Drosophila melanogaster: one gene and its partner. The protein of the gene in region 2 purifies or fractionates together with the protein of the main gene of each other region. This does not show direct contact. Each region holds a gene or a part of one and is shown on either strand. Other genes may lie near its edges. The genes, in order: grh and vvl.

Evidence for each region.
Region 1: the proteins of vvl (region 2) and grh purify together in Drosophila melanogaster (affinity purification with western blotting; one study listed by BioGRID). This does not show direct contact.

What each region holds. Positions count from the first base shown.
Region 1 is NT_033778.4:17,796,243-17,812,020, forward strand, and holds the start of grh (grainy head), read left to right. Parts: upstream 1-6,003; 5' UTR 6,004-7,149; intron 7,150-11,856; 5' UTR 11,857-12,168; coding exon 12,169-13,412; intron 13,413-15,778. Other genes in the region: Dhit (double hit), read left to right, coding at 812-889, 960-1,021, 1,086-1,374, 1,443-1,527. UniProt on the Drosophila melanogaster protein: Transcription factor that binds a CNS-specific regulatory element of the Dopa decarboxylase (Ddc) gene. Also interacts with sequences adjacent to other transcription units, including Ultrabithorax (Ubx) and engrailed (en).
Region 2 is NT_037436.4:6,784,626-6,802,625, reverse strand, and holds vvl (ventral veins lacking), read right to left. Parts: upstream 12,469-18,000; 5' UTR 11,801-12,468; coding exon 10,517-11,800; coding exon of another isoform or gene 9,572-10,516; 3' UTR 7,685-9,571; downstream 1-7,684. UniProt on the Drosophila melanogaster protein: Binds to a DNA sequence element required for the expression of the dopa decarboxylase gene (Ddc) in specific dopaminergic neurons. Could also play an early role in specific ectodermal cells, and a subsequent role in the embryonic nervous system.

The DNA of each region.
Region 1 (15,778 bases), on a different chromosome or scaffold from region 2:
TTCACAATTCCGTGAGCAAGGCGACGGGCAGCGAAAAGCTCTCTGGAGGGCACTTTTCAAATCAAATATAAATAAGTATGTGGCGGCTCCTCCGCGGACTCCTCCAAGTGTTGCATGTTTTCGTGAATGAAAACGAAAGTCTTTTGCGACCCGCCGCCAACTCGCAACCCCCCGTCCGCACCTTTGTGTGCACAACTTGGGGGTATATCGCCCCGAAAACCCAGTTCAGAGCACCCGATGTCGCCTCAAACCCCCCCTGGCCGCATCTAATTTGATTCATATATGTATAGGGGTATATGTACGCCTGTGTGACTTTGATTAGGTATTGGGCCAGCGAGTCGCTCTGATAACTGTCGTCCAGATAAGAGAGCTTTATGTCAAGTTCGAGTACTCCGTTGCTCTGTCTCCGGGCTTCGAAACCCAAAACCGATATGCCATTAGCCTATCTACAGTGTTTATTCGAGGCATTATATCTTTATATCGCGTTCAGATATATGAGTAACTTTTAAACTCTCTAGCTTAAAATGTGGTAGAATCGCTTATGTTCAGTTTCTATGTTTGGTGCAAGTGTTTTATAAAATGCTAATCAGTAGCTTGCGCTATCTAAAAGTTTACGTTATCGAGCGGCTACTGTACTTACATATTTATGCTATTTTGTGCCAGTTAAAAATGAGTCAGGCTGAGCGCCAATTCAGCGATGAATAAAATTGTAGTATACTTTAAAGGGTGATTGATGAGTTGTAAAATCAAAATAATCGACTTTTAACAAGCAAACCCCCCTTGTTTTTTCCCTTTTTTCTTATCTTTACAGTCTGGCCATCAAGAATGCCGATGAAAATGCCCCCACGAAGCGAGATCTGGTAAATGCCGAATTCTTGGATGGCGAGCAGTGAGTTTGAGCACCAATCAACTTAATAAACTTAAGCCACGGAAAAACTACATTTATTTGTACATTACAGACCCACACTGGAGGAAATCCGCAGCTGGGGCAAAAGCTTTGACAAGCTGATGAAAAGTACAGGTAAGCCATTGACAATTGCCACCTTGATCCAAACTAATTGGTGGTTGGCCGAATATTTTCCCAGCTGGTCGAAAGGTGTTCCAGAACTTCCTGCGCAGCGAATTCAGTGAGGAGAACATCCTATTCTGGCTGGCCTGCGAGGATCTCAAGAAGGAGAATAGCCCAGAGTTGGTGGAGGAGAAGGCGCGCCTCATCTACGAGGACTACATCTCGATCCTGTCGCCCAGGGAGGTGTCGCTGGACTCCAGGGTCCGCGAGATTGTCAACCGGAACATGATCGAGCCCACGACGCACACCTTCGACGAAGCTCAAATCCAGATCTACACACTGATGCACAGAGACTCATATCCGAGGTGAGTGCTCTTTAGGCAAAAATAAAAGATACTGTATTTATACTTAAACGGGGTATCTTTTTCAACAGATTCCTAAACTCTCAAAAGTTCAAGACACTAGCTCAACTGCAAGACAACTCGAATGCCGGTTCCAAAGCGGATAGTCCAACTTAGAGAGGATGGCTTGATGTCCCGGATCGGATTTGGATTTGGATTTGGATCGAATTCAGTTGCGCTGTGTTGACTTCCGCTGTTGCTCTCCACTGGTATATCTCTGATTTTCCGCCCCAATCGCTGCTGCAATCGACTAAGCAATATGTATCCATTAGTAGAACCATTTAACCATTTTGCGAGCAGCCACGAAATCAGGATCCTGGTTGGGGCCGGTGAATCAGACGTCGTGCGTTCAATGTGAATCGGATTCCTTTCTCTTCCTACGTTCTAGTCGTTAGCTAACCAAAGAGTTAGGTATTACAAAATATGTTTTCACTAAGAAGCAGGTTCGACCACAGAAAGCATTTTCCAAAACAACCAAAAAAAAACAAAAAAACAGAAAGAAAAACAACAAGAAAAAAATACCCAGAAAGCTAATACGAAACGAGCGACACAAATAGCATCCATTGTAATACTAGTGATCTAAGAGACGTATTAATCAAATTGAAACCAAGATTACGGAACCCGCTAACTGATAAGTATGTTTAAACGTAATCATAAACCGCAACGTAACAGAAATACTTTTTCCAAAAAAACATTACAAAAAAAAGAAGGAAAGAAACCAAAAAATCTTTTTAAACGTATTACATACATAAACTTTATAAACTTATATATACAACACACCAGCATATATATATATATATATATATATAGTAAAATTGTTGTTTTATTTATGAGTCGAACTAATGTCCCGTCAGTTGACTAAGGACAACGCCAAGAAATAAAAAATAGTTTTTAGGAGAAATAGTTTCACGACTTTATTCTTTGGATCTCAGCTTAAGACTAAAAATCAAATGCAAATTGGATTGAGGAGAAGCCTCAGTATTTGAACAATATTTGTATTTCGGGAGAGCCTCGCTCTTGGGTTCTTAAGATTAGGTAGCGTTGAAAGAGGGCAGTCAAATCTGCTTAGGTCAGGCTTTAGGATGTTTACAAGAACGGCTGCGCTGCCAAAGATAAACGAATGCTGCGCAGCTGGGATACGTTATGGAAAATTACTAGAGTGCATTACTGATTTCTTTGAAATAATGGAAGTGGCTGGTTTGGACCACCCAAATACGTCACTATATATATATATAAATACGGATATATAGAGACATTTAACATGACTAGTTTTGAAATCGTTTTAGGTCATACGAGTAATGACATCGAAGCATTTTGTAAATACAACAGCAGACGGCAACACTTTCTACTTTCTTATGAAACCCCATTGAGGATCAAGTCCTTTCTTAAGCAAATCTTACAAAGCCTCATCTTGAGCTGTACTTTGAGCCAGACCACAACAGACCATACACACCCCATAGAGTCTTATCCAAATGCAAACCGGAACAAGCGCATAACTAACGTGTACTATATTATTTCGATGTCGAGCTGATTTCCAAGTCGAAAGAAGAACGTTTCGCAATATCACTGCCAACACAAATAAGAAAAAAAGAATCAGAACTTCGCAACAAAATATATCCACTTACAAATGTATTATGCAATTGTTTTTCGTTAGAAAAGCGGAAGTTCCAAGAGTTTCCTTGCATTGCTCCCTTTCTGCATTCAAAAAAAAAAACATATATTAAAAAACAGTATTATAAATAACAAAAAAAAGGAAACACAAGAGTATGGTTACATTTAAATTTTAGCAAACAAGTTGTCGAATTGAAAACTAAAAACAAATATAAAATATGAAAAAAACCAACAAATTTATAAGGAAAAACACAGAACAAACAGGAGGACTTTCGGTTCGAGCCCTGGCAAAAAGTTAACAATGTTATTTCGATCTTAAGTTGGTTTCCTTTGACCTTAGGTTGTTTGTGTTCGAGGCACAATATTTTAAAGTACAATATTAATGTGTGTACCTTCGTTGCGGGGAGCAGGGAATGTATTTTCGTAGCTAGTTGGTGTGCCTAGTTTTAATGCATCTATCGATACAAAACCCCATCCATCACACTCTGACATGAACAAGAACAGCAAACACAAGTATATTAACTTTACTAGCAATTAAACAACATCTAGTTTACTCAAAGCATATATGATTTCAATATTGTTTTCCACCAATCGAGCCAACGTTACTTACTTTTCTTATTCTCAAATCTTAAGGTGCTCAGCATAAGGACACCAAATGAGTTTTTCTTTAATATAGAGATATTTTTGGAATACCCCCGCATAAGTTCCTATATTTTTATAACAGCTTAGACACGATCGAAGGTCCGATTTCTGGATTCATATGGTAAATCACATCTCCGCCTAGTCCTTTGAAACTTGACTTTCACGCGTCACTCAGGCTGCTACTTGGAATTGAGAATTCGACAAACGCCTTTGCATTATAGTGTTCGATGAGATCGGCAGATCCGCGGATCGGTGAGAATCCGAGAACCAACATCAACGTTTCCATGGTTTGTTACATTAATTTTAGGCAATCAGGTTAGACAAAAATGTCCTGGACAAAGGGACGCGCGGAGGGATGGAATGTTTGTTTGTGAATGCTTCTCTTCGGTTTCTTACTTTTGCATAACGGACAGATATAAGACTTTTTGAAGAAAAAAACCAAATATATAAGTACATTTAATGCGATTGTTGTTTGTTTTTAGTTATATACACCGCCACACTCGCACACAAAACACACACACCGATACATGCATACATATATATACTACTTAGCGGTATATGTACAAAAACGTAATCAAGCATTAGTGAAATGTTTCGACCAGTTAAAAACCACAAATTAAATTTATTACATGAAAATCAACTAATGTGTAAACGCAAAAACGGCAAAATCAATAAATAAAAAATGGATTAAACTAAGCCTAAATTTAGTTTTAAACATTTAATATATTGCAACAATAAACCGAAATGAAAATAAAACTCAAATTCAAACTTGAGATGCAAGTGTTTGTAATTGGGCTCCTGGAACTCAACATATTACATTAAATATTTTTAATTTTATCTTTATTTATTGTTACTTATCATCATGAATGTACTTTTTAAATATTTACTGTAAAATTGCATTTTACATAAATATTTTACATTGCGTAGAATGTCTAGTGCTTCAGTGAAAACTAGCGCCCGCTGCTTTACGTTCTTAACCACAGTTCCACGCGTGCGCAGCGCCAAAAGACAAACAACGTGAATTGGTGAGTGCGGGATCCAAGTGGGGGGAGCTCGGAGGAAAGGAAGCTGGGGGGAGTCACCCTTTACCATGGCGGAAAGCACACAAGCACCGTCCGTCGGTTCGTCCGCCGATCCACACGACACAGCGCTGATTGCCGCGCCGCCTGGCGAGGTGAGGTTGTAGGAGCCCGACTGAGGTTAACCGAAAGCCAGGCCGAGAGAACGGAACAGAGAGCGGCGGAGGCTGCGGCGGCACGGCAGCTACTTGGCGTTTTCGATTGTGGTACATGCACAACTATTTTACGTATGTATGCCACACGGAGAAAAAAATCCTTCATTTCACAGTGCTAACAATTCGAGTTGATTTATTTGATTTTATGTTAAATATATGCAATATTCGTAAATTTTTTTAATATTTAATCATACAAAGTGCTTTAGTGATTTAGCTTGTGTATAGGAAACCTATCAACAGTATTTTATATAAGAATTAAGAGTTGAACTATATTAATTATCTGAACTGCTTAACCGCGGAATAGTTTTCAGAAAGTGCATCTTTGTATCCAGTAATTTTTTGCAGGGACTTCTCTTGGCATGCGGTGATCTCGGTCTTTCTCTCCACCTCTCTCCCGCTGTTGTGTGTGTTTGTTTCTCTACCTGATGCCCGATTGCACTACCACTTTCACGCGGTTTACAAGCCGAATGACAACAACAAAAACAGAACAACAAGGCGGCGAGTTCGAAAGCGAAGTAGAGTGAACCGAGCAGCGAATTCGAATTTTCGACGATGAATGCAATGCCGCAGCACAGAAATAAACGCAAAGTCCGGGAGATACGAAATGCAGGAGCGGTTTGCCCGTGTCGAGGGTGGCTGTGGCTCTCTTTCTTGCCCTCTCTCTTTCTCTCTCTTTTGATCTGCCATCTCCCTTCGCCGCAAGTGCATGCTGAAGTGGAAGGTTCGTTGCCTAAGTCTTTTGTACCTGCCTGCGTTTCGGCCTCTGCAGGTGCACCCACACACACACACACAGATGGAAGCACTGGGCTACCTGTGTTTTAGATCGCACTTGTATGGGTGTTTGGGAGTGTAGAGACAACATCATCGATTCGAATGAATTTGAGTGGCGCTGCGCTGCCGGCGTCGCTGCCGCGTTCGCTCAATATCAGTTACGAAAGAGATGAAACCATAAAAAGCAATAATAATCGAGCGCTCTCTAACCAGCGCCGCGAACACAGACATCACCTTGCCACCAATACAACTGCACGACGACGTCGGCAGAGGTGGCAGCAGCGGCGGCAGCAGCACATTCAACAGTTGAACAATCTCCAATTGACTCTTTGGGCATTATAGCCAAGAGCCGAGATCCAGCGACAGCGACGACAAGTTTTCCGCGCACACGGAAAGTCAGCAAGTTAATACACCGAAAATATATAGTTTCAAATCCGACTAATCGTTTCAAATCGAAATTACCTGTGAGTGCGCGTGTGTGTCGCGATATTTGCGAAAAATCCAAAAGTTTCTACGCCAAACAAACAGCAAAAAGTCGCGCTTAAACTTTTTCGAAATTAAATAAAACACACACACGAATTTCAGCCACGAAGAGGAAGAGAAGGCTGAAAAAGCGAAAAAAAACCTCGTGTGTGTGTGCGTGTGTGTTGAGTGCGAGAGTATCTGTGTGTGTGTACGTGTGCATGTCTCTCGGAGAGCGTGAGCTTAAAGTGTGCCTGTGTGTGTGCGCTTGCGAGCTGGAATGAGACGCCATCAAAGCTGAGCAGCGAATAATAAAATGCAAAATAAAAATAGTGATTAATAACAGCAGCCAGAACCAGCAGCAATAACAAATGCTAGTGCGGAAAGCGCGTAAAAAATAGTGAAAATACTCATAGAAAAATAGAAAAAACAACAACAAATTGGCTTGAAAACGCAAATGCCAGGCGCAACGCCCCCGAACCGACCCGCCCCCTCAACTTTTGCGCCCTCCAGTAGCAATAGCAGCAATATGAGCAGCAGCAACATCAAATGTTAGGCCAAAATGCACAAACCGCCAGCAACAAAGGCAGCACCAAGCGAACGAAACAACAACAGCTCCACATACCACAAAGAGTGGCACATTAGAAGCGGCCAAAAGCAGCCAGCCGAGAGCATTGTGTAAGCCAAAGGCCCAGAGAGCCAGGCTAAAAGCCCCCAGACGCACAACAACAACAACAACAACTAAAACAGCACAAAGAGTGGCGAAAGGTGCACCCACCAGCAAAACAGCAACAACGGAGCAACCAACAACAGCAGCAGCAGCAGCAGCAGCCACATTTCAGTTACAGCTCCAGACTCCCAGGTTGCAGACTCCCAAAGCAAACAGACTCCAGTCCACGATCCAGCTCCAGTTCCACCGATCCGATCCACTGCTCCAGCGTGCTCGAGTGCCATAGATCCTCACCAAGTGCCAAAATCCGCATCCTGATCCCAAGAGCTCAAGGCACCCCGGCCCAAAAGTGAGTAGTACTTAGCCTACCAAGAAGTAATTATAAACGCATCAGGCTATGTAGCCCTGGTCGGTTCATGGAGGGATTACACCGTCAGAAATATAGCACCCTATTGACCATTTGGTTTTCGGCTTATAGATCCCTTTTTTCGGGAGATTCCATCACAATAGCTGGTATTCCCAATAAAGAGAGCAATAAAAGCGGGCATTTTTTGGGCACTACTAGGGTGTAGAAACTTTTCAAAAATAAATATTTTTCAAAACTTGATATTTTTAAAAAACATATGGTATTACCAAACTATAAGATATATTTTAGCTAGATTTATACATAGTACGTCAAGTTGATTCGATGGAGTTAATAGAAAAATGGTAATTGGATATTATTTCGATATTATTTGACAACGACAATCTCATAGAAATATTTTTAAACAATTTTGCTGGAGATGTAGGCATAAAATCCATTTAGTTCGTGCGGTTTTAAATTAAAATGCATTCTGCATGTTTTTTTAATAAGTTTTATTATATCTATACGGCTAGGCATTTTAAATGATTTCAAATGTATTGAAACTAAACGATTTCATTACCCTGCTGGCCAGTGTTGCTTTTGAAAGCCTTCGTTCACAGTGGACACCCTGTATGTTGTGCAGACGTAGCCTAAGTCTCTTGGTCCCAGCCTCAACTCGTGTTGTTGTTGTTGTTGTTGTCATTGTTGCTGTTGCTGTTGCCGTTGTGTTGTTGGTGGTATCTTTCGCGCACACATTCCTCTTTGTTTGGTTTTATTTTGTATTTCGTATTTCGAAGTGGCCGCTGCGCAGCGGCAGCGGCAGGTAAGTCGCACAGGTATTGGTATTGCTGTCATATTGCCGTTGTGCTCCCAACAATACCTTGCTAGAGCGGGAGAGTTGGCCATAAAGAGCGGTAGCGAGAAGGGATCAAGACGCCTCTGTCTCGGTCTCGGCCTCTGCCTCTGCGTCGACGTCTACTGCGCAGCCTTCTTGTTCGAAAATCGATGATGTTGCCCAGTGTTTGTGATTACGTTTTCCCCTGGACTTTTGTGCTGCCTTTTGCCTCTTATGTTCTCAGCTTCTTTTTATTATGATTTTTATTTTCTTTCTTTTTTTTTTTTTTTTGATTTTTTCCCTTCTTGATGATGGTGATCAATTTGGGGCTGCGATTATGGTACAGTAAAATGAACATCTACGCAGCACTCACACCGCCAGACACACAGATACATTCAGCCGTGAGATACACACGCACACAGCGAAACAGGCACATGTAACCCACACACAAAAAAAAGGGGGAACTTCGTGAGAGAGTTATTTTATTTTCGTGTTCGTGTTAACGTTTATTGTTTTTCTTTTCTTTAGCCTTTCTTCGTTTCTTCGGGACTTCTTGACTCCGTCTTGCAGCCGTTCCCGTTCCCCTTCGCGCTCGCCACCCCTGCCCCATCCATGCACGCCTTTATTTCCCTGAACATTCCCAAATACACGGAGAGAAAAGGGGATGCATTGATGGTGATATTATGAGGATTTATTTATGCATATAATTATTCTTAAAGAGGCTAAGAAGTCAAAAGCTAAAATAAAATCGTTTCAATGAGTTTCTATATCATCAGATTAATAATATAACTCAAAGTTTTGAATCGACATGGCATTTCTTGCCGTGTACCATCTACCAACTCTCCAGTCTCAGTCATTGGTTATTGATGCCCAACAACTCTGACCGTTGATGTCTTAGGGTTACGCTGCGCATTTCTTCTCTTGTCTTTTCTCCACCTCTCCCATCTACCCCTCTCCATCCCCCCCCTACATTCACGCGAAGTAAGGTAAAGATACGTAAAATCCAAATTTCAAATTATGTCAAATCTTAATGGGATTTGAAATGGAATTGCTTTCGGTATTCACTGTGTATCTGAAATCGGTGGTATCGGGGGGAATGGTGATCGTGGTTTGGGGGATAATAAAGAACGAATGACCATAGATCTCGTTGTAGGCGTTGTCTGTATGCAAAGGTTAGATGGAGGGCTTATTTTCACATGTGGTGACTTCCAGTCGATAAAATCGAAGAAAATTAGTAATGATTGTTTTGTGAGAAGGTTGATTTACTCATATAGTGATCATACCTGCATAAACCCCAGGAAGCCAACGTAGGTAGATGTATTAGACTAGATTTATTTGTTTCGACACTTATATTGCAAACACACTGCTCAAGGAAAACCGACTGTTAATTTATCAAGGTTCTATAGTTATAAATATGCAAATTGCTTTCGCCGCGAAAGATTTCCTTATGGTGATCCAGTATTGAAGCAAATATGTCTATACGTTGTTGAACAATTTTTGCATATACGTTTTAACGTGATTTACAGTTTATTGTTAAGCCAATCAATAACAGTAATTGCTCATTAATTACCTTGTATTACACTTGTGTTCGACGACTTGTTTTGATGATCAAATAGATTTAAAACTTACACCTTACACAGTAATAAGCAATATTTAATAATTTTCTTGCTAATACTTGTAAAAAAATATATCTTGCTACATATGCTCTATGGTCTTCCGCACTTATAATTGTTCCTATAATTTTTGTGGCGCCCCCGGGTGGACATTTCAATAGGAATAATTTCTTTGAGAAAGTTTCTCTCCAGAAATATCGCTATTGAGATTAATTTGGATTATCTTCTCCACATCGCTTCCCTTTTCTGGTCATAATCTAAGCCAGCAGCTACTTTTCTTGTTGCTGATTTCTTTCGCACCCACCGCATGAGTGATGGATCTTGCCCAGAATCCATCTATCTCCGGCTGGAGGTGCCAGCTTCATTGCCATTCTCCGATCTCCGCCATTCAAGCGGCAAGTTGGAAAGTTTTGTACGTAGCCCCGAGGGTCTTCGCCTGGCTGGTAATACATCTGACCCAGTTCGATGGATGCGTTGGGATCACTTGCGAGCCGGGGTGTTGATGTTGGTTTAATTGTTTCCTAATTGCCTTTCCACATCGACTTTCATCGGGCAATCGTTTCTGATTGTTTGTGCCAAAAACTAGTCTATAAACAGCATGACACTGACCTCACCTACTAACGGAATACCCACAGACCGGGTCCGAGGAGCCCGTCGAGATCGTCGTGAACTCACCGGCATGGGCTGCCAGACACACCGAAAAAAAAAAAAAAACGGGTTTATCCACATCCACATCCCAGCAGTGAACTCTGCGGCGGCGGCACCAGTAATTTTTTGGCTTTATCATCAAACAACAATATATGGTGGGGGGGGGGGGGGGGGGGGGTTTGTGCAGGGGGACTGGACGTGGAACTGAACCTGGGCCTGGACCTGAATCTGAACCTGGACCTGAACCTGGGCACGCTGTGGCTGTTTCCGAGGCTGCGGCAAGGCGTGGAACCAGAAAGTCAGCCTTCTGGATTAGGTCAAGGATTGAGATGCCGCTGCTGCTACCGGTGTGTATGGTTTTGGTGTGTGCCGCAAACTGGAGAGTAGTACCTGTTCTCAACTTGTTGTCGATGTCGATGTTGTTTTGTTTTGTTTGGTTTCGGTTCAGTTCAGCTCAGCTCAGCTCAGCTCAGCTCTGTTCAGTTCAGTTCAGTTCAGTTTCAGTTTCGGTTTCGGTTTCAAAATCCCTCATAAACATGTTTTGCTAACTCGCAGATTCTGGACTATTAACAGCTGATGGACTGACTGGTTTTTTGAGACGTGCAACGTTATAGTGTACACTCTGTGTTTAATTTCACACAAAGCACCGTTGTAAACAAAACACAAATATGGCTGAGAAGTTGGCTTCTCTGTTGGCGTCGACAGAGCGACGTTGGCAGCGACGCTTCTTCCACCTGTTTGGCTGTTTTGTTGTTTTGTTGCTCTGCTGTTTGGTTGTTTTGTTGTTTTGCCGATGTGATGAACCGCACTGAGTTATGCAGTTACACGTTTGACATTTGCGAAGGAGTCAAACTAGTTCGACGGCCACGTGTGTGCAGGCCAACTCGGCTTATTTATTTGTATTTTTTTTTTTCTTTCCGTTTTCCGATTTTTTGTGTTTGCCCCTTTTTGTTTGTTTGTTGGTTTGTTGGCTGGCTGGTCGTCTGTTTTGTGTGCTTGCAAATCGCTTGTCGTTTGAACCCGTTCCGCTGGCTCTTCCGTTTATGTGTGCCTTCTTTTTCATTTTTTTTTTTTCACCTCATTTTCAATGGGGGTGTGTGACTGCATCGCCAGTGGGTCGAGGAGGGGGCGGGGGCGGGCGCCAAGCAGACTGCCGCCAGACAGTGCCACTTTTGTTGTTGCTTCAGCGGCCTCATCGTTAATTGAGAGTGGTAACGGGGGAGGAGGAAGGGAGGTGTTGCTGCAGGGCTGTTATTGCCAAATGGGAAACACCTTATAGCATATGACTCACACCGTAAAAGTGTTGGCTTAGACTAGCGTGAAAATATTTTAATTATTTCTAACAAAACTATTAAAATAATATGGCTTTCTCAGCTTGTTAGTTAGGCATTTAAAAAAGCAACAATGTTTTTAAGACTTGCAATGATGTAGAAAAGTTTTGTTTCAGAATATTCGTTATAAATTCTTTATATTTTTGCTATACTTTCTTTCTACAACTTGCACCCATAAACACAACACAATTGTTTTCATTACACTTCACACTGGAAACTTGACTAGGTCTTTATCAATTTCACCTTTTTTACTAATTATGAACCATTGTTTTTTGACCAATTCCAGTTGAGCTGAGAACGAAACGAAGGAAGTTCCTTAGTGCCATAGAAAGCAGTTAATGAAACAACGACTAAGACGAAGATCGACCATCCAGAACCGGAGGGAGCTAATTGCGAACGAAAGAAACCACAAAGTGCCTTCCATCAATCCGTTGATAAGTGATATTTATTATGTTTATACTTGCCAGCAGCCGAGGCAGCAACAGCAATAGCAACAACCATAGGGGATCACGGCATCGATGATCAGTCCACGACCAAGTCCTAGTGCAATCCGGAATCCAGTTCAAATTAGTTCAATAAGCCGTATCTACCACGTATAATGTCCACATCCACCGCCACAACGAGCGTTATCACGTCCAACGAGCTCTCGCTGTCCGGCCACGCCCACGGTCACGGTCACGCCCACCAGTTGCACCAGCACACCCACAGCCGCCTAGGAGTTGGCGTTGGTGTTGGCATCCTTAGCGACGCATCCCTATCGCCCATCCAACAAGGCAGTGGCGGCCACAGCGGCGGAGGTAACACAAACAGTTCACCACTGGCGCCCAACGGAGTGCCACTTCTCACAACAATGCACCGATCACCGGACTCACCGCAGCCAGAATTGGCCACCATGACGAACGTCAACGTGCTGGATCTGCACACGGATAACTCCAAGCTGTACGACAAGGAGGCTGTATTTATATACGAAACGCCCAAGGTGGTGATGCCAGCGGATGGCGGGGGTGGCAATAATTCCGATGAAGGTCATGCCATCGATGCGCGGATTGCGGCCCAAATGGGCAACCAAGCCCAGCAACAGCAGCAGCAGCAACAGCAGACGGAACACCAGCCGCTGGCCAAGATCGAGTTCGATGAGAACCAGATAATCCGGGTGGTGGGACCAAATGGCGAGCAACAGCAAATCATCTCGCGGGAGATCATCAATGGGGAGCATCATATCCTGTCGCGAAACGAGGCTGGTGAGCACATTCTCACACGGATCGTCAGTGATCCCTCCAAGTTGATGCCCAATGACAATGCAGTGGCCACGGCCATGTACAACCAGGCCCAAAAGATGAACAATGATCACGGGCAGGCGGTATATCAGACATCACCATTGCCGCTAGACGCGTCTGTATTGCATTATAGTGGCGGCAATGATTCGAATGTAATTAAGACGGAGGCCGATATCTACGAGGATCACAAGAAACATGCGGCTGCAGCAGCAGCTGCTGCCGGCGGAGGATCCATCATATACACCACATCCGATCCGAACGGAGTGAATGTGAAACAACTGCCCCATTTGACGGTACCCCAAAAACTTGATCCCGACCTCTATCAAGCCGATAAGCATATAGATTTGATCTACAACGATGGCAGCAAGACGGTGATTTACTCCACTACGGATCAGAAGAGTTTGGAAATATACTCGGGCGGCGACATCGGCAGCCTGGTGTCCGACGGCCAAGTGGTGGTCCAGGCGGGACTGCCGTATGCCACCACCACCGGAGCCGGCGGCCAGCCCGTCTATATCGTGGCCGACGGTGCCTTGCCAGCGGGAGTCGAGGAGCATCTGCAGAGGTGAGTAATTGCCCACAAAGGGCGTTTAGCTTAATGAAGGGTAGCTGTGGAAAAGGGTTGGTCCACTGCCAAGTGGTTTGTTATTGTGCTCGAAATTCCAGAGAGCTGTGACCCTTAATTAGTGGCTCAATCGGAGCTTGAAAGGGTCCGAAGTTTGGATACAAAGAATCGTTGTTACAGATTTGGTTTTTTATATATCGGGCATAATATAATGTTCTGTATATAACAATTTACAGATTTCATTTAGCTAGTAACCATTATACCATTTCAAAAGAGAACGTTAACTAAAAAATTAGTTATAGGTGTCTCGAAAATATTTTGTAAGATCGTTTATCTAATGTCGAGCCTGTGTTCCGGTTAATATCCTTAACCCACGGACCAGCCCACTCAACTATTCATTGAGCGCTGTTCTATCGGCTACATAAATCTCGACTAATTGCCTTCGTCATGGCGGTCAGTTGCAGCTGGAGTTTGAGTTGTTGCGGCTGCTGGTGGTAATGGTGGTGCTGGTGCTGCGGTTGGTTACCACATCAACATCTTAATTGGGGACAGCAGAGTTTTAGTTTGGATTCGGTTTGTGTCCCCCTCTGAAGTCGTGGTCCTTTCAAATCAATGTTTGTCATTTGCATTTCTCATGCATTTGAATTAACCGCTCTTGCCGCGCGCATTTTACTGTTAATTATTGCGATAGGCCAACCGGCAACGGCAGCAACATTGCTGCTGCAACAGCAACAGCAACATCACTGTCGCAGCAACGCCAGCGCATTCTGGCCATACCCCATCCACTGACCAAACATTGAGTTCAGGCTGGTGTCCTCATCCATGCCCATTCCCCGAATCCCCATGCTCCAAACTCCAATCCATGCTCCATGCCATGCTCCATCCTCCATTCCCCCAGTGGAATGACAGCTTCCGTTGTAACTGTTTCTTCCATACGTTATTGCTGCCCCTGCAAACAGCAACAACAGCAACTTTGGCATTCTGGCGTGCATCGAATGTGCAAGTAGGCGAGCTAATAACACCCAGATCCAGCACCACGGCTCCACGGAAACCCCCATCGCCATCACCAACCGCATCCCCATTCCCATACCGAAACCCAGTCGCATCCTCCTCCTCCTCCTCATCCGCCAGCGATCCGTTTGGCAATTCATTTTAGAGCAGTCGACGTCGAGCAGTGGTATGCGCGGGTAATAAAAATTTGAATATAAATTAATCTAATAGAGAACCGTTAGCGAGCGAGGTGAGATGCAAGCGCAGCCTCCTTGAGCAAGGTGCCGCCACGGAGCTTGGCAACTAAGTCATCGTCATCTGCATGAATCGCCGGATCGTTGGCCACTCGGACATCTGCAACGCCATCGCCATCGCATCTGCATCTGCAGCCCAATCGGGCTACTCCTCCTCAGTCTCCTCCTAAATTCTTACACAGAGAGAAAAGGGTTGTATGTTGGCAGTTCGAAATGATGGGATTTGGATAGCAATGTCAAAAAGGACTATTTTCGAGACATGTTATATGAAGAACATAAGTTTTCTCAAAACACAATGTCAAGCAAGAATTTTGTTCTGCAAAGTTTTCTTCGCAGTGCATTCTTCTAATGCCAATGTCCCATCCTGTTATAGCGGAGGATGCTGCAGCAGCAGCGGCGATCGCAGCAGCCGAGGCAGCAGCAGCATCGCTGCAACAGCAACATCAACGGACACAGCAGCAACATCGCTGGTTCGTTTGGCCGGCGTGCATGTTGCATGTGCGGCAAGGTCCATAAATAACGACAAAATTGCGTTTCCGCATATGGACCGAGCAGCAAACGTCGTCTTCGATTCGGACTTTGCTTGGATTTGGCCAGGCTTTTTTTCTGAAACGGCGACCGAGCGACTGTGGCAGCAACATTGGCATGCCGTCGAAGAAGCTGCTGGCTGCAGGACCTGGGACCTTGCGTGTTGCTCTTGGCTGTGGCCTCGCACTCTCGGTCTTCTGGCCTCGCTTGATGTACAGTTTGTTTTGTTTGCTGGCCACCATGATAAGCAGCTGAGGACATGTCCATTTCCACATCCACATCCACGGCGAGTGTCTGCATCCCAAAAGTGTTCGCCTTGCCACGTTTTCATTAAAGTCGAATTAAAGCGGCGACAGAGACAGATCGGCCTGGGGATGGCAGTCTGTACATTATACATATCCATATATAAGCCACGTTGACCTTTGTTTCAAGTCATCCTTTCCATTGTGTCCGTCTGTCTGTCTGTCACCGCATAACATGTCCCTCTAGCAGCGTCTTAATTTACACTGTGCTACAGTGTATTTTTTTCGCAACAGGATAAAGGGATGTAACGATGTAATTGCCAAATTGGTTAAGTTTTCTTAGTTATATCAG
Region 2 (18,000 bases):
CCCAGTTCGCAACTCAACTCAACACAACACAACTCCGGTGCACTGCCTGCTGGCCTGTTAAGAAGGCGTTAAATGCATGATTTGTGGCCACAGTTGGTTAATGGTAATGAAGCTGATGGTCAGTAAGCCAAATAAGCGACGACCGGCCTACCAAGCGGCCAGCACTTTGGATTCGCCTCTTTTTGTTGATTTTTTTACTTTTTGATTTCAATTAAGCAGCTTTGTGTGAATTGCTGAAATGTTTATAGCCTTGGTTAGGGTATGAGTGGTACGAATCGATAACAGCTTGGTTTCCCATGAATTCTACGAAGTTACTGAGAGATGCAATGTTTTGAAGTAATATTATTAATTGTTGGTTTGATATTGGATTTTACTTTAATGTTTATTTAAGGATTATTATATTTCTAATTTTTGGCTAATATTTTGTTGCTCTTTATATACATTTCGTTCAAAGGTTTTTCAGATTAATGTAAGTTAAGAGAGAGAGTATTCAAATGGCAAATGGCAAATGGGTATAAACCAGGCCGTAAAAGGGCGGCGTTCATGTATTTATTGTCTTTTTAATGAAGGGCATTTAGAGCTCGCGCTATATCCTTGCTCCATTAATACACTCATTTCTCTGATTTTTACGAGCTCATTTATGCAGCAGACTACTCCTTTTCAACTTGGGTTTATACCATTATTTAGCTGATCTATTCATTTAGGTGCGAGCTGTGACGTCACAGTTTGTCAAAGGGAAATAAATACATACATATGTATATGCAGGGCGGTCAGAAAAGAGGACAAAATCGGCGATGTAAAGAACGCAAGTCTGCGATACGCCCAGGGCGCCATAATCACAGACGACGCGGCTTTTTGTAGGTCAAGTCTGGCCGGGCTTATGGCTTACGGCTTATGGCCGCTCTTGCCTGACTTTGGAGTCTTGGTGCCGCGTGTGGGTGTTGGTGTCAGTGGCGCTGCATAAAAGTTTTCGCAGCCGTCAACCTTGTGCAACTTTTCAGACGGCCAAAGAAACTATGAGTACGACTGCAAAATGCAAAAATTTAACTGCGACGGTGGCGCGACAACTACAACAATTGCATTGGCCTGTTGGCTTTTGGGTCTGGGCCTGGTCGAATGGCCAAATGGCCAAATGGCCAACTTAGCTGCCAATGCGACTCGACTCGACTCGGCATCATAAAATTTAATTTCCTGCGCTTTAAGTTGGCCCAAATATGTATGTATGCTGACCGCCGCACTCCCTCTTGAATTTCCCCTCAAAAAAACGGTGGAAGCCCGTTTTAATTGCGCTTTCATTAACGCGACTTTGATTTATGGCTACCGCGTTGGCCAAAGGTTGTTCTTGTTGTTGTTTAACTTTTATACCTATATTTTTTTACCTTTATTTTACCAGCTTCAGCGATTTCTTTTGCAAATATTTAAGCTTTTATTTTTTCCAATCTTTTCGCTGGCCTCCGTTTGCCGGTCTGCTGTTTGTATTGATTTTCAGCCATGCTGAGGGGGCTTTTTGTTTAATACTTTTCGGTAGTCAAATTGCCGCCGACACTAACAACATTTGGCCAACAACAAGAGCAACAGCAGCAGAAACAAAAAGCCAATGCGTTTACGAAACTTAACTTCTTCTTTTTTTTTTTTTTGTTTGAACTTTGTTTGCCGCTCTTGTTGTTGCCGACGATTGCTGGGTTACAGCTGAATCAAAGCGTATTTTTTGGGATTTTTCGGTTGATGATGATCTGTCAGATTTTGAAAGTCTAGACAGGCCGACGACAATACTCATCGCTGGGAGGTATTTTCAGCTTATACGGTTTTATTTTTGTTACCAAAGATTTGCATGTGATCAATGTGTAACGATGGCGGAGATGCCGGCTAGAGAGATGTCTTTGTAAACTTAAAGACTTGAATTCTAAATAAGTTTATATACCGTGTAATATATAATAAAAAATAAAAAAAAATATGCACTGCTTATATTCGGCAGAACTCGAACTTCTAACTCCATTTTTATACGGTGCTAGAAGTGGCCATAGGGAAATGGCGAAGCGGCGCCTCGGCATTTTCCACCTCTGCCATTTCCACGCCGCCCCGAGCAGCCTATGCGGCGTCACTCGCGGTGCATTGCAAATGTGAAAAATGCTAGGAAAATTAGAAATGCAAATGCAGTCGATGCTGGCGCTTTGATGAGTCGTCCGTCCGTCTGCTGCCGTTGTTTGCCTTTTGATGATGCGCATGCGCAACGTTGGCCGAGTGCAAAAACGTGCGGCCACGGAAAACGTCGACTGCGTGGCATCGACATCTCTCCTCCTGAAAAAGCATTAAGGCTGGCAGCACGTGCGCTCATGCGCAGCAAATAACTCGCCCATCTTCCACATTTACTCCTCTTCTCGAAGTGCTGCAACTCCTACTGCATCATGGCTGTTGAAGCTAAGGCTGGAGCTGCAGTCGGAGTTGGATTCTTCATCCCCCATTGAGCAGGGGGAATGCCAACATGCTCGGCTACTTTGTTTATTAATTCTTTTGCGCATTTTTTCGCGCTTGACTCCGGGATGTGCTGTTCAGTTCAGTTCAGCTCAGCTCAGCTCAGCTCGGTTCGCTGCAGTTCGCTTCAGTTTGATTTTCGCCGGCGGCAAAAAGATTATTGCCGGTTTTCATTAAGAGATTTATGGCTCCCAGTGAGCAGACTGCATTGGATCGTTTTGCGGCATCGGCGTCAGCATCAGCTGCTCCCCATGCACTTGACCGCCGCTGGATGCCGATGGCATTCGTTCACGGCCTTTTGCCGGTTTCAAATTCAAATTCTCGAATTCTATACTGCACCTGAGATGCACTGGAAATAACTACTTTACTCTTTACACCACAACTTGGAGGGAATTATAAATATTGTAAGCCGATATGGTTAGCAATTCATTGTGTGAAATTATCTTAGTATCTACTACATCTTCCTGCTATAGTATTCAGTAATGAAGAAAGATATCAGCCCCCTTTTGCCCTCATTTCTTCCAGTGCATGCGCCTCCTATTTGCTTTTAGATAGCTATCTTGAGCGCTGGGCGACCTTGTTGCCGGTTTTGGCCGACAGACGTTTGGCCAAATGTCAAGCAACGTCTGCGACTGTCTGCAAAATTGTGTGTGAGAACATAGTTTTTTCCCATATCGTTTTAATAGTTCGAATTGGATTCGAGACCCGGGCCAGGGTGGCCCAGAGTTTGACTTTATCTGCGCGCCAGCCACCCCACCCATTAGCCTTTTTATTTATACGTTAAAAATGTGCGCAAACAGCAGCGAAAAGAGCAGCAGCACATTGCCAATAACAGCGGCAAAAAAAAATACAAAAAATAAACTAAAACACATCGCAAAGTGGTTGGCTTTGACACTGCGCAGCACGATCGCGGGGGTCTTGGTATCGCGAACTCCGGATTGGACTTTTCTTAGCCAACAACTGAACTAGTGGCTAATACCGCTGCCAATTTGCTTGCCAAATGCCGCCCCGCAGGTGCGGATCGAGGTGTAGAAACGGCAGCAGCTTATAAAGCCATTAATAACCCGCGCATTTTCAACAGTTTTGGCCAACACTGCGGACTGCACACATGAGACTTAAATGGCAATCCGCGGCGACCGCAGATCGGCGACAATGTCATGGTTCAGCCATCAATTGCGTTTGCTTATTAGAGAGATGTTTGTTTGTTTGTCATAGATGATGACTGCGAGGTTTGATCAAAGAGTTAGCGAAGTTTCAAGGATTCCAAGTATGAAGTTTTTTGAGTTACTACTCAACAATGTTTAGAACAGAATCGTAACAAACAGTTGGAATTCATTGTACAGATATGTTTCAAAATTACACTGTTTTTCTTTACCTTTTATTTACTTTCAACAATTATCACTTAATACCATAGAAACAAGCGGCTACATTTTAGTTGGGCACCTCTGCTTTGTAGACAAGTAAATACAAATTAACATTTTGAAAATGCTTTTAAAAGGTTTCCTTTCACTAGTTAAATATTTTGATAGCGAGCAAACTAATAGATTGCCCAATAAATCTGCCCATTTCTTCCAAGCTTTTCAAACGTCCCCTTGATGCTCCCTGAAGCTCACTTATATCTATCACTATGATCGTCCATATATAGCCTGCCCGCATTATTTGTCTAGGTGTCTAGCTGATGTAGGTGCTCCACAGTCGAAGGTGTCGAATGGCAATTGCTGCCCCCGCACCACAGAACCACCTTCAGCACCACCGCCACCGCCACCACCTTCACCTGTCTCATCCCAATTTGTGGCTTGTTTTACCTGCACTTTACACACAGTCACAGCTTAATTCGCTGGTGGGAGTATCTCCCATTTTACATATACATACATACATCTCATTTTTTTGTGGGTAGTTAAAAAGAATTTCCAACGCTCTTGACTTACGTTTTCGAGGGCTCCGTTAAGAGGCAATAAATTTTGTAATTAGCGCAAGGTTTTACAATACCAAACGCACTGATTTGGCTCGGAACGAAACAAGAATAGCCAAGTACACCTATATAATTTTATATACGCAGTACGTAGTACTTTCCAGCCGGATAGTGCTGTTCATTCGTCTTTTCTTTTGTTTTCCTTTGCACAAATGTCGCACACGAACGCACACGGCTAGAACTTTGAAAATACGAAAAAAACGAAAAGAAAAAAACAGAGGAGCGCGGAAAAAGAAAATGAAAATTCCCAAAGGAAGCATAGATAATGAGCACAGAGTCCCCGACACTCCGAATGTCAGTGGAAAAGTCGCCCAGCCGGAGCCAAAAGCCAAAGTCGCACAGAAGGAAAGTGCGGCCCAATCACAGGGGCGGATTTCACGAGTTCGGACCTTTAGAGAGCTGAGAAGAATATATTTCGAAAATTTAGAAATTAAATATTGTTTCGAAAGCTTACCAAGCTATTATGTATTATTAAGTTATTAAGTAAACTATGTTTGTAGATATACTATAATATAGTACATAAATATAATATTATTTAAGCGTATAATAATAATAAATTGGCAAGCGTAAAAATAATTTAATATATAAATTTTAATTTGATGCTTGAATGTTGTAATTTCTATAGTTCCCAAATTCTAAGCCCGGACCAAAACCCATAGTTAATCCGCTCCTGTGGAATGGTCAGTCGGCCAGTTCGTCAGTTGGCTTTCGGGTGACGTTGACTAGAGTCAGCCATTTTGCCGGAGTGGCGGCAGTAATGCCACAATGGCAATATGCCCGAGACCATTGTGGCCCGATTCTCCGTTACCAACTTCTGCTGCCGGTTCACCAGCTTCAGTGTCTCTCAGCTGCCGCCGCTGTAGCTTTTGTTTTAGCCATTGTTAGTGGAACGCTGGTGCTTTTGCGTCTGCTGCTGCCGCTGCCGCTTCTGCTGCCTTTGCAACATTTGAATGATTCTCGTTGGTCGTGTCAGTCCCACGGGTAATTATTGACACGGTTGTATGCACGCAGCCCAAAAAGCACACACAGTGAAATGTACAAAAGCAGGCGGCGTGTTGCTTTGCCACGCGAAATAATAAAAAACCAACCAACTCCACTCGAAATAATAATGAAAATGTCGGTAGTTTTGCCTCGAGGAGGGGTTTCTCTCTATAGATATGGTCGGGGTATATATATATATATACTTAAATATGTACATATGGGGGAGGGTGTGTAGGGGGTGTTGCCGCCGCTGTCGCACTTTGCACGCACGGCAACATTAAAACCAATGAAAACTACAATTTGCCCTCGTAGATTAGTGGCTTTTCTTTATCATCGAATAATGTGGAATGTGCTTTTTAACTATGGAGTGACTATAAAATGGTAGTATAATTTTCATTAGGCAGAGGAGAAAATAAATATATAGAGCTGATATATTCGCCTATTCAAATAGGCCATTAGGTAGATTAATCGGCAATATAAAAAGTCTAAAACTTGTGTGAGATAAGGAGTAAATAAGTAAAGATATCAAATTTATATAATATGTAATAAGTAGCAATATGAAAATACCTCATATTACCTCACATTTAAATACAGCAAATCCATTAGCCATGATTAATCAGTCAGGAATTTCCCCCAATTTCTTTTGGACAATCCTTCGAAAATCCCATAAATTCTTAAAGCGCATTTCAACTAGCACATGACCATTAAAAAAAAAACCTTTCCTTTCCGTTTTCCATATAAAAGTTTATATAGCCCGAGGGGCAGGTTTCATCTACACGAGTGGGTGTGTGCGTGTGTGTGTGTGTGTTCAACTACCCCAAAATGGCAGGTGGCAATAGATAAACGTATAAATAGGCTTGTGGGCAGCCATGTTGTTTCCCCATTAAATTTCATTTCATTTCGCCGTCTATTATTTCTTTTTTTTTGTTAGAAAATAATTAAGAGAGCATAGAGAATAATTATATGGGTGGATAATATAATACTGTCGATATTATATTGTTCAAGTGCATGAAGCGCATCGCGTGGGTGTTTTTGCTTAGTTTGGTGCGGAAAATATAATTTTCATTTTTATTTTTCATTTTCCGTACGCTTTATTGAAACATTATAAACCACGCGCGCCAAGAGTTCAATTTCAACAAAAATAACAACCGATATTTTCGTTTTGTTTAAACGGCATTATTGCCGTCGCATAAATATAAATCATTGCACTTGCGCTTCTGTACAATATATATTATTGTTATTATTTGTTATTTGTTACTGTTATTGTTTTTGGGGCAGTTGTTGTTTATATATTTAAGCCTAAAACTGGCTTTCAATTATGCGAATTTATTTCGCACACAAAAGCGAGTGAGAGGGCTCGGGTTATACGAGTATGTATGTATATGTATTTTTCGGGCTGATGCAATTTTTATGCAGAATTACTAACCAATAGCATTTCGGCACAAAATTGTTAATCAGCATCCAATGAAATATGCATTTAAATTATAAATTAAATGTTAAAAGCGTGCGGTACATTAGATGACAATAAGGCGGCCAGGGGGCAATGTGCAGGTGGAATGAGACGACTTTAATGGTATTTCATGAATTTGTTTTTCATTTTTGGAAACAACTTAAATTGTTAAAAATTTAAGGACTTAAACATAATACTAATACCTTGACGAATTGGGAAGTTTTGAATGATTTCTGCAAACGAAAAATACACCCAACTTATTTCGTAAATTAAATTGACCGCGTAAATCTGGCAAATTGTCACTTTAATCGCCTTTCGATTGACGTCGGTGCTCTTTTTGTTTTGTTCAACGATTGCGCATTGACCAGGGACAAACAGAGATCCATCAGGTGCTTCCAGCAGCACTTAAGGCCTTATAAAAGGGTAATTTCACGAAATGCCACGCTTTTTAATGGCAACTTTCATTAACGAGCGGTATTACTCGATCTGCGAGTTGTGTTGTTAGTTAATTGCCAATTGCTCCCTCTCTGACGTAGGCAATCACATTATAATGTGCCCACTTAATTATTTAATGGCTTTTCGAACACTTTAAGCAAACAAACGAAATTAATAATACACGCAATTATCGCGATTTCATCGATATAAACGCCCTATCGTAACCAGCATCTGCAAAAGGTGGCCGTAAAACTCCTGTAAAACTGTCAAAACCAACGACTCATAAACTTCACAACCAAAAAGCGGACGAAAGTAAATGCAAATAAATGATGCCGCTAATTAAATAATAATAAAAGGACGGTGCGTTTTTTTTTCGAATAATATTCTTTTTTATTTGTTTTTTTTTAAGAGTTTTTTTTTGCTTTTCAGTTTTTTCTTCTTGGTTTTCCTCGGTGTGTGGGTGTGTGTATGTGTAGGTGGAAATGCACCGCTTTGTTGACTTTGCTGTTGCATATATATGTACGTCTATATAATTTATTATACAGTTGAGGGCATGGCTTAATCTTAAATATTCGGCTTCGCTTCTCTCGCTCTTACAGCATAGTTTTCAACATACCAAAACAAAGTACACTAAACAAAAATTTCGTTAGATTCTATAATATATAAAGTTACACCAAAGGATAAGGTTTGATTTTCTTTTTAGGTTTTTGTATAAGAAAATAGAAAAAGTAGACATAAATGTAAACGTATATCAAAAAACACAAAGATGATTTTTTTTACACAATTTTCGTTTATTTTTGTTTTTGAAATAATTTCAAGTTTGTCGTTTAGCATTTAGTTTGCCTTTTGTTTTAATGTACATCAATTAATATATTACAATTTAGCATTTGTGGTATTTGATTATTATTGGTTTGTTTAAATTTTAAGATTTAGCTATATTCATTTTTGTTTTCCATTCGATTTCCTTTTGCTTATATAGAAAGTACAGTACTAAGTAACTAAACTTCACGTGCCTATTCATTAAAAATTACCGCCTAAAAATTAAAATTTATATTTTGTAAATGTTGTTTATTTTTTTTTCGCTTGTGGTTGTATTTTTAATGATTTTTCTCTTAGGGGGGCTTATTAAAAAATCTACAATTGCATTTAAAGCTAAAAAATATGACTTAACTGTAAGTTTTTATTTACAGATGTTTTGGGGTTTTCTCATATTTTACTTAATCCTTCCTTCATCTCGTATTTTTGTTTACTTCGCCGCGCGTTAAATTCTACGTTTTTCTTTTTCTGTTTTACGTTCTGTTCGTTTATAGATGTTTTAGAGTACAATCTACTGGCTATATATATATAATATATATAAACACGGCTTGCTTAAGAACCTAGACCCTATCTAGAACCCACCGAGTTCTCCCACCGCTGCCTTCTTTCTCATTGAGCCTTTTTTTTACTTGATCTAAACGGCGACAAAGTGTTGAACGAAAAAATATTTTGTGGACTTTTGGGCATGGAAACATTTACCTTGCTTATGGAGAGCAGCTGAGGAATTTGTTTTCTTTGCTTGTCTTTTTTGGTTTCTTTAACACTTGGGTCGCACTTTTAACTAGTTTCTCTGTTTTTTTTATTTTCATTTAGTTTAATTTTTTAGCATTTAGTTTTTAGGTTAAAACAACATCACTTGGTTTCACGTTTGATTTGAATTGCGTGTTTCTTTCGCTTTTATACAAAGGAAATGTTTCGTTTACATTTTAATTTAGTTAATTTGATTTAATTTAAGCAAGTTTTTCAAACTTTAAAACAAACTAAAATGGTGGATGGCAGCCTCCCCATCTTCTCCACCTCCTCCACTCCCTGCTCCTATTTAAGCTGAAGTTTAACACAGATTAATGCACTGGTAAAAAAGATGATTTCTCAACCTCATCGACGGACCTCATCTTATTTCTATTCTTTAAAGATTTGCATACAGTCGAGCTTGTCTAACGTGGAACTCAATATGGTTCATATTGTTTAAGTATATATGTTTAAAATGATTTTTTTCAGTCGCCAATTTAGTAACAGATTTTAAGAACACTGTGAAATGCTATTTTCAAATTTTAAAAAACCTCAAAACACCGCAGAAATAAAATATTGAAAAATTTCAAAAATATTCTTATGACTTACGAAATATTCTGAAATGCTCACAGCTAGTTAAATTTTAGATAGCTACTTTTGCGATCATTCGAATCGAACCAACTGAGTTCGCGTTAGAGAAGTTCGACTGTACGATTCTAGGGCTGCTCCCGCTTGAAATGCGGCCACCCATTCGACGCCGAATCCTAGGAGGACTCATAGCCGAACCAGGCGGCCGACGAATGCTATTCGCCACCCGCTCCGCCCGCCCCGCCAAAGCTGTTAAAGTGCCGTACCGCTCCCGGTGCCGCCGCCGCTCCAAACTGCAGACTCAACTCGAAGAGTCGGCGGGCGTGGAGCTGCTGCTGCTGCTGCTGGTGGTGGTGGTGCTGCTGGTGATGGTGGTGCTGATAGTGGTGGTGCTGGTGCAGCGGATTCAGATTGAGATGGCCACCAAGCACCGAGGATGCGGATCCGGCCGGCGAGGCGGAACTGGGCGGCTGGAGTGGCAGGCCACTGTTGCTGCCGGCACCCGGTGACAATTGGGAGTTGCTGCTGGTGCCGCCGACGGTCTGCTGCTGCGAGTGCTGCAACTGATCGCTCGTGTGGAACAGGTGCGGATGGTGGGCGGGATTCAGGTGCGGATGCTGGTGCGGATGCGGATGCGGGTGGTGCGGATGCTGGTAGCGCATGGGATCCATGTACATGGCGGCTGCTGCAGCGGCTGCTATGCTGGATGCCTGCTGTTGTTGCTGTTGCTGCTGGTGGTGTTTAACTTGCTCCTCGTTGTTATTGTTATTATTGTTATTGTTGGTGCTGCTATTGTTGTTGTTATTATTATTATTATTGTTGTTAGCCTGATTGCCAGCGGAGGAGCTGCCCAGCGGACTCTGCGGCGACATCACCTGGCTGGTCATCGTAGCCGATGATCCCGCACTGGAGGATGGTGTATTCGGTGTGTGCTGCTGCTGCTGATGTTGCTGCTGTTGCTGGTGTTGCTGCTGCTGCTGTTGCTGCTGCTGCTGTTGCTGCTGGCTTAGACTATTGAGGGATGCAGGAGTGGACGCAGCTGCAGCTGAGTTCGACTCCTGGATTTCTGATTGCTAGTGGGCCGCCAACTGATGCGCCGCTACCGCCGAGGATTGCATATTCTGTGGGCTCAGCATGGGCGGACTGTGCGAGTGGGAGTGTGTGCCCATCGGACTGCCGTGCATATCGTGATGCGGATGATAGCCACCATGATGCATATGGCCCGGCGGCATGCCGTCCATCATGTCGCCGCCGAGCGTATTTGGCGGCGTCATGCGCTTCTCCTTCTGCCGCCGATTGCAGAACCACACGCGTACCACCTCCTTCTCCAGCTGCAAGGAGTCGGCCAACGAGGTTATCTCCTGGGCGGATGGCTTCGGCTGCTTGTGGAAGTGCTGCTCCAGTGCCCCCTTCACGCTCACCTCGATGCTGGTGCGTTTCTTGCGCTTACGCCCCTGAGCGGCGATCTTGTCAATGGACGTGGGTGAACCCGTTGTGGAGTCCGCCTCCTCCAGCCACTTCTGCAGCAGCGGCTTCAGCTTGCACATGTTCTTGAAGCTCAGCTGCAGTGCCTCGAATCTGCAGATGGTCGTCTGGGAGAACACATTGCCATAGAGAGTGCCCAGTGCCAGGCCCACATCGGCCTGGGTAAAGCCCAGCTTGATTCGGCGCTGCTTGAACTGCTTGGCAAAGGCCTCCAGATCATCGGACGTGGGAGTGTCCTCCTCGCCGCCGCTTATGGCATCCCGATCGCCGCCGCCCATGTGATGGTGTATGTGCAGCTGTGGCGATTCCCCGCGCAGCGTATGATGCAGTGGCGCCACACTCTGATGATGGGCCGCTGCAACCGCATGGGCCGGATGATGGAGCATTCCGTTCATGGCATGATGGTACTGCAACGGTGACCCGCCCGTTGGCGCATAGTGTCCCGCATGGGGGGCATGCCAGGCGGCATGGGGCGAGGCCATGCCCTGTTGGATGCGCGTCTGCTGCGAGAGATGCGACATCTCCTGCTTGACGGTATCAGCGGCCGAGGCAACGGCAGCGGCGGCGGGCAGATGGTGCGTATGATGGGTTTGCATCCACGGATCCGGATGGAGGGCACTCCATGAGCCCAACCCGGAACCGGAACCCAATCCAAGTCCGCCACCATTGCCCTGGCCATTGGGCGATGGCGACGAGGGCAACTGATGGTGGGCAGCTGCCGCGGCAGCGGCATGATGATGATGATGGTGCTGCATGTACTTCATTTCACCGGCATCAGCCGCCGAGCGCGGCGACGAGGTGTGATAGCCACCGCCTCCGAGGGCCATGTCCAGATCACCGCTCGGCGGCGTCATGTACGAGGTCGCGGCCATCCCCACCGCTCTGGGGCTGTTCAGGCCCTCCACGCTGGCGGGGTAGGGCTCCAAGTTGGGGCTCAGTTTAACGACTTTGTACACCGATCGATCGAAAGGAAGACCAGGGTCCCTATGCTCATTCCACTCGAACCGTGAGGCAACCGTCTTGACGTCTTTTACGGGCAACGTGGCAGGCGCAAAAATATTCTATTTCGCTTATTTTGTTTTTTTTTGGGTTCGACGTTTGCTTTTTTGGGGGCGTGGCCCTCGAACGCGTTCAACAAGTTTATTTCAGCTTTGGGTTAAGTAAAAAATCCGACGGCAATTTGCTTGGGGTTTCACGTTTATTTAGCTTGACTAGCGTTGAGCTAACTGCGTTTTATTTGGTTATTTATTTAGATTTTTTTATTTTCGAATTTCATTTAGCACTTCTAACACTTGGCACTTTTTGTGGCGATTTTTCGCAACGATTTAAATCATCGATAGAACTCAGTGGTCAGAACGCAGAACTCTGATATTCAGATACAGATTGAGATTTCTCGAATGTGTGTTTCTACTGGGTTGCTTGACCGATTCGATGCCGATTGAGATTTGAGATTGTGTGTTGTGAGATTTGAGCAGTCAAGACAGCCGAGAGCCCAGGGAAAATTCACGTGCAGACTCGTAGAGCTATCGAAGTGAACTAACGTCATGTCTCGCACCGCAGCTCTACGTTGAGCGCTCTCGACGCTCGGCGGTACGTCACACCGATACGTTTACGCACACCAACGAGCGCAGTACGCACACACACCCCGGCGAGCGAAACCAGTTTGTCCGCTGGCCTTCCAGCGTTCCATGTGTGCGAGCAGCACCGCCATTGGTGCGGCAAGCGAGATAGACGCTCTACCGAGCAACTGGAAGGGAGACTTGCGCTCTATTGGGCTCGCTGTATTCCAGCGTTACGCCCCCAAAACCAACAAAAACAAAAAAAATATATGAGATGAAAAAATAATACCAGAGCCGGCTCTACGAAGTTCCCTCAGTGCATTCCCATGCAGAGTGACATTTTTAATTGCCCAGTGCCCAGTGCGAGCGAGAGAGGGCGAGAGATGATATGAACGGCGACGGCGCATCTCTCGATTTCTTCGAGTCCAGCTATCGGGAACACAGGGATTACACGTAGTGCCATCTCCCAGTTGGAGCTTTTGCGTCCAGGACTTCTCTCTCCCGTTCGGGGAGCTTTGTTTCAGTTCCTTGCAGCTCCTTGGCCAGACAACTTTTCCCTTGGCTTTGTGAGTGTGTGTGTTTGTTTGGGAGGGGGGACATCTGGAGTGGTTGCCATTGCGATTTGAAGAACATATTACTAACGTGGCGTAGAAAAGGAATTAAACAAATAAACAGTTTAAATATTTAACTATTTATCGTTCATCCAAAAAAGTGTGCATAGTAAAAATATTTAAGAGCAAATAATATTTGATTATCAATATGAAAAATAAATAAATCTTGAACTTGAATTTGGACAATTCAAATTTCGCTGAATTCTGTTGAAAATATTTTTTATATAGACCGTGTCCCATTAAATATTTAACCAATGTGTTATATAAGAAAATCTTATTTGTATTTTTTCAGTTTATAATATGTGTGAGTGAAGCTTAATTAAATTAAAGAAAGTAAATTAGTGTTTAGTATGAAATGATATTTAAAATTTTCGTTTAAAAAAATAACCATTTTACCGATGAATATTTTATAATTTTCTTTTTCATATGCATATAAGTTTCGTTTGGCTGCCTACATAAAATATACCTTTCTTTTCCACCTTGATATCTTTCTTTTGCTCATTGTGTTTGTGACTGTGTTTTGACTGCTTTACAGTTAAATTATGTTTCACTGACAAAAGATATTGATTCACTTCATCCGTCAGTTTCATTGATTCTATGATCAGTTTTGCGAAATTAATGCGAAACTAGCGATACATTTGCATAGCTAAAGGAATTGCCATCGTTAAAGTTATCATTGGAATACTGACTTTTGTTTCTGGCTGTGCAGTTTTAAAGTTTTTTGATTTAGCGGAGCGTTATGGGACAATGCGAAGAATCAAATGAAAAATATCCGTAAAAGTTTATGTTTCCTAAAACAATGAATGAATGAAACTCTGCACACAATCAATGGAAATCTATTTCGCCTTCAAAGCCAATTGCCGTCAAATGTATATATGCAGACATAAAATAGCTTATTTAACCAAATTTACCTTTCTAAAAAAAAAATTACTTATTATTTTCCCACTATTTCCCTTAAATATGTCAACATATATTCAGAATTTTCCCACTTAAAAAATATATTTAATTAATGCATAAAATGTTCAAAGCTACCCTCTCATATATTTTCTCATTTAATAAATCCTGGCACACATAACTAGCCCAAGAATCCCATAAACACCCACCACAAAATACTTAGCATAGTTTTAGACCCCTTTGAGGCAGGTCAAGAGCTCAATCAAAAAATTATGCAAACTAAGGTCATCCAGCCGAGCAGACGCAAGCCAGACAAGTTCGAGCGTATTTGCATGAAATTTGTTTACGTTTTTTTTTCCATGACCATATCCTTTGGCCACGCACTTGGGCATAATTAATAAGCCAAGCGTTTCCAACCCAAAAACCCCAGTGACAAAATAAAGTCACAGTCATTGTTGGTCCTTAGACAAAAATTTACATGATAATTAGGTGGCGGCGCTAAATAACAACAGCGAGTGAGTAAAAAACAAAAAACAAAAAAAAAACGCTGGTATTTAAATTTCAAATGTCGAAGCGAAGGAAGAAATCCTGTTTCTGCTGGCCATCCTCCCTCGGTGATTCTGTCACTTTTTTCTGCTTTACGTTTTTTTGTCCATATGCTAAATGCGCACGCGCCGCGTTTTTGGTTTTTGTGGCCAGCAAAGGACTTGTTGCATAATTATGCGCCGCATGCGAGTAAATAAAAAACGATGCGATGGTAAAAAATGAGCAGGAAAATATACATATATATATACAACTAAGCGCTGCGTTTATGAATGGAAGATATCTCGTGGCGGCCGCGTCCACGGCGCCGTTGATTTGGATGATAATGAGCTCGATTAGCATTTCGGCTGCATTTTTATATGGCCATCTACCATCTACCCGTCTCCTTCTCCGGTCGGCTGTCTCTATCTCACACCTCGTTTTCGGGCCGCACTTGTTTATAATTATTAGCATAATTTTCTTTCTTATTTTGCATTAATTTGCCATCCCGACCGGCAAACGAGTGCGAGTGCGAGCGAGAGCCGAAAACCTCAACGTCTGCTTTGGTAATTAAAGTGCCATAATTTCCGAATCAAAACATATAAACTGGTCTGCTTTTGATCGCTTTGTTTATCGCGCAATACAATTAATGCACACTCGCTCACACACTCGATAAGTATGCGAATCTCTATATTTGTGGGGGGAAATAAAACACGTCGACTAATTTGTGGCAAATGCAAAGTAATTTTATCGGTTTAAGCTGTATTTAATGCATTTGAACAGGATTTTCGGCATGAAGAGCATTATTTTATTGCATATGCCACTCGGCACAGTGGGTGTATATCTTTAAGTGTTAGTCGTAACTCTAATTTAAAAAAGGCAATTAAAAGCAAATTAATAAAAGCTATAAACAAACAAAGAAGTTTTAGCTTGGGCACAAGTTAATGTGTTCTAAAATTAATATGTAACCTTAACTAAAGACAGAAAATCCATAAGCCATCTAATCATTTGAAACATGATTCCCTTCAACCATTAACAGATAATACGATCTCCTTTTTTGAACGTTAACCCTTAGAAGCCCAGTTGATTTGATAGGTAACCCAAGGAGAATCGATTAAAACTCTCGCATTCAATTAATCCCTACCTTGTCCTACCTACATCATCTTCAAAGTAAATTTCATGCAAATAATCCTAGCATCGTCCTCCCAACCCCTTGCCATCCTTTCCATCCTTCACCCCAACCCCATTTCCGGATCTATCTATTTTGCTCATTTGCAAACAAACGTTTCATTAGAGAGACACATCGAAGGCATCATCATCAGCTGCAATCCATTTGCGTAAAAAGAAGAAGCCTCGGACAACTCGTTACCATATGCCCAACTCTCGATTATTTTTTGCGCGCCAAAAAAAAAAAATAGCGGAGAGACAAGCACTTAAGAAAACAACAGGATGGTGAGGAAGTCCTGAAGACGAGGCCGCCGAAGAAGACAACCCTTGAGCAACCCTTTATTACGCTTTTCGGCAAGGTCAACTATCTATCCGTGTAGGCAAATTGCATATAGGCAAATCCGAATCTCCCGTGGATGCAACCCAACCATTTATCATTTTCTTTCGTTTTCTTTTTTTTTGTTTCGTGTGGCCCTTCTGCAATTTCAATTTTTGCAATTTTGCATGCAGCGGCCGTTAAAAAAGTCTCTGGTATGCAATCAGGGCGCTTATCCTTTGGGTCTTCGGCCCGAATCCTTTCACTTTCGCTACCTACGAACCAACACAAGCTGGCAGAGCAATTCAGAAGTAGAGTTTGCCAAAATTCCAGCACACACACGCACATCCTTGCTGTCATATGCAAATTAGCACAGCCAAAATAGAAAATTTCTGCGTCCCGCCAAAAAAACACAGACCAGCAGCAACAAAAAACATAAAGTAAAAATGCGAACGGAGCACAAAATGGCAATTGTTATCGAAAAGGGTAGAAGAACGACCCATCGCCCCGTTTTCGGTTTAAATGCATTTTTGGTGCGCCTCATTGGCTTTTGGCATTGAAGCCCGACGCCCAACTGTCAATGAGACCGCGCAAAGGGCAAATATGCAAATTAGTTAGCATTTTTTCCCTTTTATTTATTAACTAATTTATCTCTGCGGCGCTGTGACACGTCCCATAGGCAGAGCGAACCCGTCAGGGTCGTGAATTATTGGCGAACGACATAGAGGAGGTACGAAAAAGCGTTGCAACACCTGGACACAATTTTTTTCCAACTTTTTTTTTTGCCTTTATGTGGGGTAAGCGTTGCTTTCAACGCTCGTTAAGTAGTTAAGTAGGTTATGATAAAGCCGATTAAAGAAGAACAGTTCAAAAAGGCCTTAACTTTACTAGGGTAAATTTAAAAGCATGAACATGTATAAATGTTAACTTAAAAATCAAAAATCCAAAATTCGCTGAGAAATATATTAATAAGTTATAAACAATATTACCCATCATATAAACAATATATTTATGTTTACATCATAAAATCAAATCAATTTTCATTTTAAAACCCAAACACTGCATTTGCTTAACTCACTTTCGAGATTAGAGTTTAATAGTTTGGATTTTGGTTTCGTTATTTGGGAAAACTCCAGCTAATGAGAAAATCTAGAAAAATAAATAATTCATTAAGGCGTTAAATCTCCATAAACTTCACTTTTGTGTGCTGTCCTCTCACTTTCAATCGGCTTGAAATGCAAACCAAAGCACTCAGTCACTGAAAACCCAACCCAAGAATGATGGCTGGAAAATGGAAAATGTATGAAAATTAAAACTCTGTTCACACCCACCGAAGTGGCGACAGGAAATTCAACGAAATACCTACAAGCCGGGCGGCAAAAAGGGAAAAACATATGTCAATAAAAATCTCTTTTCATGGAACATTTGCATAATGCAGTCAAAAGGGCAACGCGTTCTCCGACTCTTCCTTTTCCTGTGCCCAGGTGACTGGGACTTCAAACAGTGCCCAAACTTGCAAACTATGGCACAACTACGGCACGCATGTTGGTTGCTTTCCTTCGAAAAACAGAAAAACTGAAAAAAAAACGATTGCGTCAAACGATATCCATCGCATTTCAAGGGGTCGTGGCCTTTTAGGCCCAGGGGTGCATATCATTAGCGACAAAAACAGTGGCACACATTTTCCGACTGACACTTTTTTCCTGGCACACCAAATGCCTCCTGGCACATCAAAGGCCAATCAACTCGTCCAATTGTTTTTATGCCCCGAGTTCTTAGTGTTTTCGGTTCTTATAGGAAGCGGAAGTGAACCCTTCTAACCCCTGACTTAGCCTTTCCACGAACCATCTGCCCAAGGGGTGGGTTTTTCTACAGTGGTGAGTTTCCTCTGACCTTGCCATAAAAATTGCAAATTAAAAAGTTTCGCTTGAAATGAAAGACTGTTTAAAGTTTATATTTAATAATATTTTAATGTTGTTAGATTTTGATGAAGAGCAGAATCA